3 linked regions of the Cricetulus griseus genome follow. The protein of the gene in region 3 purifies or fractionates together with the protein of the main gene of each other region. This does not show direct contact. Links are inferred from orthologs where the notes say so. Each region holds a gene or a part of one and is shown on either strand. Other genes may lie near its edges.

Region 1 (2,414 bases), on a different chromosome or scaffold from region 3:
TTGTACCCATTTAGACTGCTGATCTTGGCCTGGACATTGGTGCCCAGGGAGAAGCCCTTGGATATCGCCAGGACGGTATGTTATAAAGCTTTCATCCACGAGCTGGTCTACTCGTCTGAGAGCCTGGGCCTGGGGGAAGTGGTAGCTGTACTTGAAGGTGGTCCCTGAATTCCAAAGTTGCAGTATCATACTTTTGTCTTAGAGGGAGGGGTCTAGGATGGGTGGTTCATAGCTGGTCCATCAGAGCCTTCTGGACCCAGATTTGAGCAGCATAAGGTACTGCTGCCATCACCCCATCCTGGAGGCTTTATCCAAGGAACTGTTGGAGCTCTCTGGCTCCTCGTCTGCACGGTCATACGCAGTTTGCCTGCCAGGTAGGCCTCAGTCTGCTGAGTGCGCCACACGCAGGAAGTCAGGCACAGTGAACTGCTGCAGGTGTGTGGTAGTCTCTGGAGCTCTTGGAAAGCCTGGTGTTGTGTAATTACTTGGAAGAGGAGACTAGAAAGCATGTTCCTGGCAAGGTGTCCTAAACATGGCTAACCCGTCTGTCTGTCTGTCTCTCTCCTTTGCCTGTCTTGGGCGCGCTGACTCTTCCAGATCCCAGCTACCGTTCCTTTCACTCTGGTGGATACGGCCAGGATGCCTTGGGGATGGACCCTATGATGGAGCATGAGATGGGTGGCCACCACCCTGGTGCTGATTATCCAGTTGATGGGCTGCCAGACCTGGGGCATGCCCAGGACCTCATGGACGGGCTGCCCCCAGGTGACAGCAATCAGCTGGCCTGGTTTGACACTGACCTGTAAATCGACCTTTAGGTAAGCAGCTTATAAAAGCCAGTGTGGGTGAAGTACTTTACTCTGCCTACAGAACTCCAGAAAGACTTGGTGGGGTGGGAATGGTTTTAGGCCTGTTTGTAAATCTGCCACAAAACAGATACATACCTTGGAAGGAGATGTCCATGTGTGGAAGTTTTTCACTTTGATGTTTTTGCCACAGCTTTTGCAGCGTTACACTCAAGACGAGTAACATTTGCTGTTCTCAACATTAATTAATAGCAGCCTTTCTCTCTGTACAGCTGCATTGTCTGAACTTGCATTGTGATTGGCCTGTAGAGTTGCTGAGAGGGCTCGAGGGGTGGGCTGGTATCTCAGAAAGTGCCTGACACACTAACCAAGCTGAGTTTCCTATGGGAACAGTCGAAGTAAACTTTTTGTTCTGGTCCTTTTTGGTCGAGGAGTAACAATACAAATGGATTTGGGGAGTGACTCACGCAGTGAAGAATGCACAGGAATGGATCACAAGATGGCGTTATCAAACCCTAGCCTTGCTTGTTTTTTTTTTTTTTTTTTTTCTTTTGTTTTTATTTTTTGTTTTTTATTTTTTTTAATATCTGTAATGGTACTGACTTTGCTTGCTTTGAAGTAGCTCTTATTTTTTTGCAGTAACTGTTAGTTTTAAGTCTTGTAGTGTTATGTTCTAGTGAACCTGCTACAGCGATTCCTGATTTCTGAGAACTGAGTAATGGTGTAGAACACTAATTCATAATCACGCTAATCGTAATCTGGAGACGTGTAACATTGTGTAGCCTTTTGTATAAATAGACAGATAGAAATGGTCCGATTAGTTTCCTTTTTAATATGCTTAAAATAAGCAGGTGGATCTATTTCATGTTTTTGAACAAAAACTTTATTGGGGATATGTGCGGTAGGGTAAATCAGTAAGAGGTGTTATTTGAGCCTTGTTTTGGACAGTTTACCAGTTGCCTTTTATCCCAAAGTTGTTGTAACCTGCTGTGATACAATGCTTCAAGAGATACGGTTATAAAAATGGTTCAGAATTAAACTTTTAATTCATTCGCTTGTGTCACTTTGGTTTGTCCCGAGATGGTTGTTGAGGTTCGAGGAGGGGGAGTGCTTGTTCCTTCTCCAGCATCCCACCAGAGGAAGGAAGTGCATGTGTGCCAGTACCAAAGGGTTATTTATTAGTTTTAGCTCACCCTTCTTGCCTAAGAACCTAGCAGGCTTCCTGCAGTAGTCTCTGTGTTACACTGAGCAGTCACTAAAGCTGGACCCCGAATAAGCCTCCCTTTGGACAGTGTCCGTCCCACTGAGCAGTAAGGAAGCACTGCCTGGATTTGTATCAAGCATCATTGCGAGTGTGGCTCACTTGGAGAGGGCAATCTTTTCACGCCTTTGAACCAGTAATTATGTTTAAATGCTTGTGTTTATCTGAACACAATCAGAACCAGAGTGGGCTGCCTTCCGAGTGGCCTGCCAGAGCTGGCCTGGTGGTGGGTCTGATCAGCAGGCATTGTACATTTCTCACACAGACCTGTTAGCCAGCATTCCAGCCCTGTGAGGGAGGCCCTCGAAGAGATGCCAGGTAGGGGTAAGGTAACAAGGCAAGAACTG
Region 2 (3,751 bases), on a different chromosome or scaffold from region 3:
ACTTTTATTTGAAAATCTAAAAGTCCAAATGATTTCAAATCCCTTTGCCAGGCCGAGAAAGGATTCGATTTCTATTTCATTTATGTGCTTCACAATAAAACTTCAAACAGCTGTCATTTTAAAAAGACACTAGTAAAAGACAGCCTATCTGGCCACCAAACCTTTTTAGATAGTTTGGAGCCAGGCGTTAGTTTGCACACGCCTTTAATCCCAGCACTCCGGAGGCAGAGGCAGGTGGATCTCTGTGAGTTCGAGGCCAGGCTGATCTTCAAAGTGAGTTCCAGGGTAGCCTCCAAACCTCTGAGAAACCCTGTCTCGAACCCCCCCCCCAATAAATAAGTAAATAAAAACAAAGAAAGAAAAAAAGAAACTTTGGAAATGGCTCCATTCTCTAAAATTCTGTGCCCTAAACAAACGATTCCGTTCCTTCCCCCCAGATTGATAAAAATCTTAATTCTTTAACTCTGAGAGTCGCCTATAGAGAGTCTCATCCAGTCAGCCGCATTTTCCCGCCCGTGCGACGTGCGGGACTTAGGAACGTCAGTGCCGCAGGGCTTGCAGCGTGGGCCTCCCAAGGGGACGGCGCCGTCACACTCTGCACACCTCGGGCCCCCAACATTTAGATTCCGCGAGGGAGGCAAAGGGGTCCGCAGGCTTTCTGGCAACCTTAAGTCGCAGGACAGAAAAGCGTGCTCTTCCTTCCGGCACTGCAATAGGGTGAACTGGGAAATGGAGACCCAAAAGCGCGCGGGGAGGGGCGAGAGGCGCCAAAAAGAAAGGGAATAGGCCTTTCTCTGGGCGGACGCGCGGTCACGCGGCTTTCTCCCGACGTGGGCGCTTGCCATTGGTCGAGCTGCCGCTGACGTACCTGACGTTGCCTGGCGCGAACCGCGGCGAGGGCGGCGCTGCGTTGGAAGTTGGTGAGGCGCGCGCGCTCCCGCGGCTCGACCAATCCGGACCCGCCGCTCTCGGCCCGCCAACCCGCCCGTCCAGTCGCGCTCCGCTTAGGCGTGACTCCGCCCCCGAGGGGCGGGCGGCGCGCGGAAAGCGCGTCACGTGATGACTAGCCCCGCCTCTTCCTCTCGGTCCCATATTGAACTCGAGTTGGAAGAGGCGAGTCCGGTCTCAAAATGGAGGTAAAACCGCCGCCCGGTCGCCCCCAGCCTGACTCCGGCCGTCGCCGCCGCCGCCGGGGGGAGGAGGTATTAGGGGGAGAGCGGGGGGTTGCTGGGTAGTTGCCGGCGTGGGGGGGCTTTGGCTCGATGGGAGCGGGGAGGCCGGGGGAAACCGGGACGATCGTCCCGCGCTCTGCGCTGAGAGGGCGGTGGGAGGGGGAGGGGAGCGGGCCTAGCGGCCCCATCGAGGCCCTCGGTCGGCCTGGCCCTCTCGGTCGGCCGCACCAGCAGCCCTCGGAGACGCGGCGCGGCCGGGGAGGTGGTCCGCGGCCGGGCGAGGATCCCGAGGCCTGCGCGGCCTGACTGGCGAGGCCGCGGGCGGCATGGCGGGCCTCCGCGGGAGCGGTTGGGAGGAGGCGGTGGGGGAGGGGAGGAGCACATCCGGGCGAGCGAGCGAGCAGGCGGGCGGCGGCCACATTGACATTGATCCGCTGCCGCGTTACGAAATGGCGCATTGGCCCGCAATGGCCGCCGCCTGGTTACGCCGCCAAGGAGGAGTGCGTGGGATTGGAGGGAGCGGCGAGAGGCGGCCGGGCATTTTGCCGCAGATGGCCTCGAGCCTCGGGGCGCGGTGCTTTCCGCTGGGGTGCTGCCTGCGCGTATCTGGGCCTTCGGGCCTCCTCGGTGACGGCAATCCGCGCAGATCTCCGGCCGGATTTTCTCACCGTTGATTTGGGGATACATTACTGAAATGCTTGCTGCTTTGAGGTGCTTCCTAACCCGCTAGTTTCGCTCAAGTGTTTGGAATGAAAGTGCTTATGGCGTCTGGTGGTTGAAGGATTAACCATTTCAAGGATTTGCGTGTAGATAAGTGCTAATTTGGAGCTTAATATCTTACCGATTTAATTTCTCGTGGATTGGCACCGGTTGTGGTTTCCTGGATTTTGGTTTTAGAGAACTTCGACCACAGTCAAAATTTCACGACTACGAGGATTTTTTTGTGTGTACGGAGATGTTGTTTTTGTGTATTGTCAATTGCGTTCATCCGAGGCTTGAATAAATGGGACTACGTGAATTAAAACTTTGGGCAGTTGATCATTTAACGTGTTTCTAGTATGTGGCAGTATTTAAGTATTGAATGCTTTAATTACTACTTTAGAAGATTGAAGAAGTTTTTAAATGTGATTGTGAGTCTCCTTTAAGGATTTGTGTTGCATTGTTTTAGTGCGTGCATTAAAAGCAATTCATTTGAATGTTAAAACCTTCCAAATGAAAAATTCATACCAGATATTCTAAGTCAATACGGTTTTGTGCTTACTTCCTTGGGCAGATGGTATATGCTATATGTGACAAATTCAAATTATATACTTGTGAATATCGGTGTACTGTTTGAAATCATTTAACTATATGATGTAAATGGGCATCCACCAAGTTAAATTGATTACAGAAAGCTAAGTAGTGCAACTAGGTGTAATGATGTACACCTGTTACCCTAGCACGTGGAAGGCTGAAGTAGGACTGCCTCAAGGCCCAGTCTTGCCTAGCCTGTCCTTGAGAACCTCCCTCAGCAGCTCCCCTCTCAAAGCACTACGGGCCTAATCTTATCGCTGATTTGTATTGTTCTTGTGGGATATGCCTAGGAATGTCTTAGATAACTGATGTGCTGGAAATCTGAATCTCTCTCAATTTGCCACTCCAAACTTTTTAAGTTGCATTTCACAGATTGTGTTTTAAAATACGGGTTTGTTGCTGTTCCAGACTGAGGATAGTGAAAATGGCATGGGTTGAATAATGCTGACTCCTGGGTTCTTTTTTGTTGTGAATGACTTGTTACACACATCTGAAATACACCCCTAACATACACTTGTAGCTTTCAAAAAGTTATTTTTTACTCTGGGATTGTTTTGGGGTTCAGTTTAGTTACATAATGTTTAAAGTGACCCGGGGTACCATTGTAGTGGGGTTTTTTTGTTTTTAAGGCAACAACCCACCCTCTACATACTTAATAATGGCTAGGAACTGGATACATAGTCCAGGCTAGCCTCTGCCTCAAACGCTGAAATTAACTGGTGTGTATTATCATGCCCAGCGTAGAGAGCAGATTTTTAATTGGGAGTATTAATGATAGAAATTTTGAGACTCTTGTAACAATTTGCTTCAAGAAAAAATAAAACTGTATCGATCTTTTTTTCTCAGGGCCATGATCCAAAGGAACCAGAACAGTTGAGGAAGCTGTTTATTGGTGGTCTGAGCTTTGAAACCACAGATGATAGCTTAAGAGAACATTTTGAGAAATGGGGCACACTTACAGACTGTGTGGTGAGTCCTTGGGGTGAGGATTGTCTTAGGAAGGGATGGGGACCTATGAGACTATTTAAATACTTTCATTTGTTTATTTTATAGGTAATGAGAGACCCCCAAACAAAACGTTCCAGGGGCTTTGGTTTTGTGACCTACTCTTGTGTTGAAGAGGTGGATGCTGCAATGTGTGCTCGGCCACACAAGGTTGATGGGCGTGTGGTGGAACCAAAGAGAGCTGTTTCCAGAGAGGTATTTTAATAACATGTTGTATAATGCATGGAACTGTGAGAGTTTGGTTTTTTTGACTTAAAATTATTTTATTTGCAGGATTCTGT
Region 3 (3,751 bases):
GATGGTGGTATTAGTTCAAATATATACATGGATTCTCGGCAGCCTGATTCCAATAACAGAGCCGAATCTTTTAAAATACAACTACGGAAAATAAAAGGGGAAAAAAACTTAAAATATCACAATAAATTTACAGAAATATTACAAACCATAAGAAAATATTCCAAACACAGTAATTCCATATTCTTTTATCTGAACAAAATGGAAAGGTGGGACTGAACAAAAGCTTTTATAAATTACCAACGATATCAACCTGCATGGACATTTTTTTTTTTTGCCTTTAACAGTAAGTTAAAAATTTAGTACAATCTAGAACATTTGCCCTTTTTAAACAAGACCAAGAAAATAGTCTTGCCAGTATTTGCTCTCAAGTTTTCCTTTTGTACAATTTTAAAACTAAAATGTTCAAATCCGAATAAATTTCTTTCTTCCTTGTTTGTAACGGTCCTAAATTTAAGCTGCAGAATCAAAACCCAGCAAGAACCCTTTCCTCGAAAAATATTGGCAAATTCTCAGCTTATAAACAATGGACATTTGATTGCCATGTTTATCTCGATAAATACTGTACAAAAGTTGCTTGCAAATATTAAAACTTTTTTTTCCGTCGCTCGGAGTCTAGCTCTAAATATTACTGGTAAAGACTTTTGCAAACTCCCTGCGAAGCGCCTAACATACCACTAGAACTTTTAAAAAAAAAAGTTTTGCGTAGTTTCTTTCTCCAGATCTATACATGGTCCGATTACCCCTCCCTCCCGGCCGCCCTCAGGTTTTCTCTGTACAAAAATAGTCCCCCAAAAAGAAGTCCCAAAATCTCTCATAAAAGTTTTCTAGTCGGCAACACGGTTTTTGCGTTAATTTGGATGGGATTGGTGGTCTTTTCCGCAGCTGTCATTTGACTGCGGGTAATGAGATTTTTTTTCTTTCTTTGAGCATGTCAGATTTTTCTTACTCTCCTCTTTTGCACCCCTCCCAATTCCCTTGTTTCTCTTTGAAAATCTCTCCCTTTCTCAGTTCGCGCTCCGGCCCTCACATGTGCGACAGGGGGAGTGTGCCGTTAATGGCCGTGCCGGGCACCGGGCCGCTCTGGTAGTGCTGGGCCATGTGCAGTCTACTGGGAGCAGCGGGCTCCGGCACCTCGGCGCCGGGGAGGTACATGCTGATCATGTCCCGGAGGTCCCCGGCCTGGCAGGGCGCCCTGGAGTGGGAGGAAGAGGTAACCACGGGGGGGCTGGAGCTGGCCTCGGACTTGACCACCGAGCCCATGGAACCCAGCGCCATACCGGGGGTGCCCTGCTGCGAGTAGGACATGCTGTAGGTGGGCGAGCCGTTCATGTAGGTCTGAGAGCTGGTCATGGAGTTGTACTGCAGGGCGCTGACGTCGTAGCGGTGCATGGGCTGCATCTGCGCCGCGCCGTGCGCGTTGAGGCCCGGGTGTTGCGGGTAGCCCAGCTGCTCCTGCATCATGCTGTAGCTGCCATTGCTCCAGCCGTTCATGTGCGCGTAGCTGTCCATGCGCTGGTTCACACCAGCGCCCAGGCCGGCGCCCACCCCAACCCCGCTCGCCATGCTGTTCCCGCCCGGGGCCAGCAGCCCTCCGGGAAGCGTGTACTTATCCTTCTTCATGAGCGTCTTGGTTTTCCGCCGCGGCCGGTATTTATAATCCGGGTGCTCCTTCATGTGCAGAGCGCGCAGCCGCTTGGCCTCGTCGATGAACGGCCGCTTCTCGGTCTCCGACAAAAGTTTCCACTCGGCGCCAAGGCGCTTGCTGATCTCCGAGTTGTGCATCTTGGGGTTCTCCTGGGCCATCTTACGCCGCTGCCCCCGGGACCACACCATGAAGGCGTTCATGGGCCTCTTGACGCGGTCCGGGCTGTTCTTCTGGTTGCCGCCGGTCGGTGCCGCCGTGGCGTTGCCTCCTCCGCCGCCGCCCCCCGAAGCTTGCTGCGGGCCCGGCGGCTTCAGCTCCGTCTCCATCATGTTATACATGCGGGCGCTGGGCGCGGGCGCGGCCCGCCGGCGGCCGCCGACCCTCGGCCCGGCCGGGACTGCGGGGGCCGCGCGCGGGGGCCGGGCTGCAGGGGCCGCGGGCGGGGGTGTCGGCGTGCACGGCCTGCGCGGAGATCGGGCGGAGAATAGTTGGGGGGAAGCGGAGCTCGAGACGGGCGAAGTGCAATTGGGATGAAAAAACAGACGCTCTCCTCCTCGGGCCGCCGCGATTGTTGTGATTAGTTTTTGGAAAGGCTTAAGCCTCGGGCTCCAAACTTCTCTCCTTTCTTTCTCCTCTTCTTTCTCCCAGCCCTAGTCTTAAAGAGGCAGCAAAGTACTTTTCCCTTTTTGCAAACACTCTCTTCTCTGCCTTGACAACTCCTGATACTTTTTTGAACAAGTTAATAGACAACCATCCATGTGATGGGGGCTGTCAGGGAATAAATGGGTTTCCGGCGGCCAATCAGCAAGCGCCGGCTCCTGCGCCGGAGCCCAGCCTCGCCAGAGGGTTTTGCATGAAAGGGGGCGGGGCCTGCCGCGCCGCCGAGCCGAGCCCAGCAGAGCGCTGTGCCCAGAGCCGCGCGGGGGAGGCGGGCCCGCAGCCTGCAGCCGGCCGCGGGGGAACCTTTGTATCCCCCTTCCTCAGCAACAGGTCACGGCGCACGCCTGTTCGAAGGAAGTGGGTAAACAGCACCAAGACGACAGCTCCTTCCCCCCTTGCTACGGAATATTGGCTCCCTCTTGGGTACATAAGGGAGGATGGGGCGCGGGGAGCTGGGGCCAGGGTGGGGCAGGGCCCATGGGTGGTTCAGGGCGACCGTCCAACTAGTATTTCAGGAAGCTGGCAGGGCCGGAGGTGGTGTGCCATTGTTCCTCCGCTCATCCGAGGCACTGCTCTCGGTTCCAGCCCCTCTTCCTACCTTGGTGCCAACACCCCCTAACCCCCTCATCTCACAGTACAGACAAGAAGTTAGACCCAAGCCTCGGGCCCCAGTGCCCTCCTGACTTCCACGTCATCTGCTTGGTTCCCAAACAAAAGTCCTCTGCCTTTTTGGCCCACTGAAGAGCAGAGCTAGGGACAGGCCTTGTTCACAGTCTTCTAGCCTGACTCAGGTGTGGTTTAAGGAACCGCAGCACGTGTCCTCAACCCTAACTCCCTCCTCCACCAGTCTGTCCCATCCAGAGGGTGCAAAGGCAAAGCTTGAACTCTCCTCCCACTCTCTTTCTAACCCCCACCCCCCGACACAGGAGGATTTCAGTGGTGGCAGTTTCAGATGAGAGCCTGGGGACGAAAGAATCAACAGAAAGAGACTCCAGAGTGCAGCGATGGGGGGAGGGTCACGCAACTTCCTGGCATCCTACCGTGAGGCACAGAGGTGGCATTTGGGCTGTGCTCACAAACTCCCTCCCACGCAGCGTTCCCAGGATGGGAGCTGCGCTGCCGGCATTGCCCCTGCTGACTGGCACGGTGGTAGCCGTGAAGGCCCGGCCGAGTTGGTTTAGGGAAGCACTGGGGCCTGGGAGGCGCGCGGGGTTCAGAGGTACAGGTGCAAGCCAAGTGTGTAGGGATAAGGCCTGCGGAACCCCGGGAGCCGGGCCCCAGCAATCCCAGGCTGCTGGAGGATGATGGGCCGGGGCGGGGGTAGGGGCTCAAGAATCTTGCCCGCCCAAGACCCGAGAGGGTAATTTTAGCCGATCTCCCATTGTCCATACGTAAAGATTTCAATCGGCAGGCGCTCAAAAAGCCCAGAGCCACCGCACCACGTCC

The links.
Region 1: the proteins of Sox2 (region 3) and Ctnnb1 purify together in Homo sapiens (affinity purification with mass spectrometry; 3 studies listed by BioGRID and IntAct, with this or other methods). This does not show direct contact. The link is inferred for Cricetulus griseus from reciprocal best matches to the Homo sapiens genes SOX2 and CTNNB1.
Region 2: the proteins of Sox2 (region 3) and Hnrnpa3 purify together in Homo sapiens (affinity purification with mass spectrometry; 3 studies listed by BioGRID and IntAct, with this or other methods). This does not show direct contact. The link is inferred for Cricetulus griseus from reciprocal best matches to the Homo sapiens genes SOX2 and HNRNPA3.

The regions. Positions count from the first base shown.
Region 1 is NC_048597.1:228,017,375-228,019,788, forward strand, and holds the end of Ctnnb1 (catenin beta-1), read left to right. Parts: intron 1-14; coding exon 15-75; intron 76-597; coding exon 598-806; 3' UTR 807-818; exon of another isoform or gene 819-1,237; 3' UTR 1,238-1,858; downstream 1,859-2,414. UniProt on the Homo sapiens protein: Key downstream component of the canonical Wnt signaling pathway.
Region 2 is NC_048599.1:99,410,011-99,413,761, reverse strand, and holds the start of Hnrnpa3 (heterogeneous nuclear ribonucleoprotein A3), read left to right. Parts: upstream 1-1,051; 5' UTR 1,052-1,130; coding exon 1,131-1,202; intron 1,203-3,311; coding exon 3,312-3,434; intron 3,435-3,518; coding exon 3,519-3,665; intron 3,666-3,743; coding exon 3,744-3,751. UniProt on the Homo sapiens protein: Plays a role in cytoplasmic trafficking of RNA. Binds to the cis-acting response element, A2RE. May be involved in pre-mRNA splicing.
Region 3 is NW_023276806.1:114,823,869-114,827,619, forward strand, and holds the start of Sox2 (transcription factor SOX-2), read right to left. Parts: upstream 2,290-3,751; 5' UTR 1,984-2,289; coding exon 1,024-1,983; 3' UTR 1-1,023. UniProt on the Homo sapiens protein: Transcription factor that forms a trimeric complex with OCT4 on DNA and controls the expression of a number of genes involved in embryonic development such as YES1, FGF4, UTF1 and ZFP206. Binds to the proximal enhancer region of NANOG.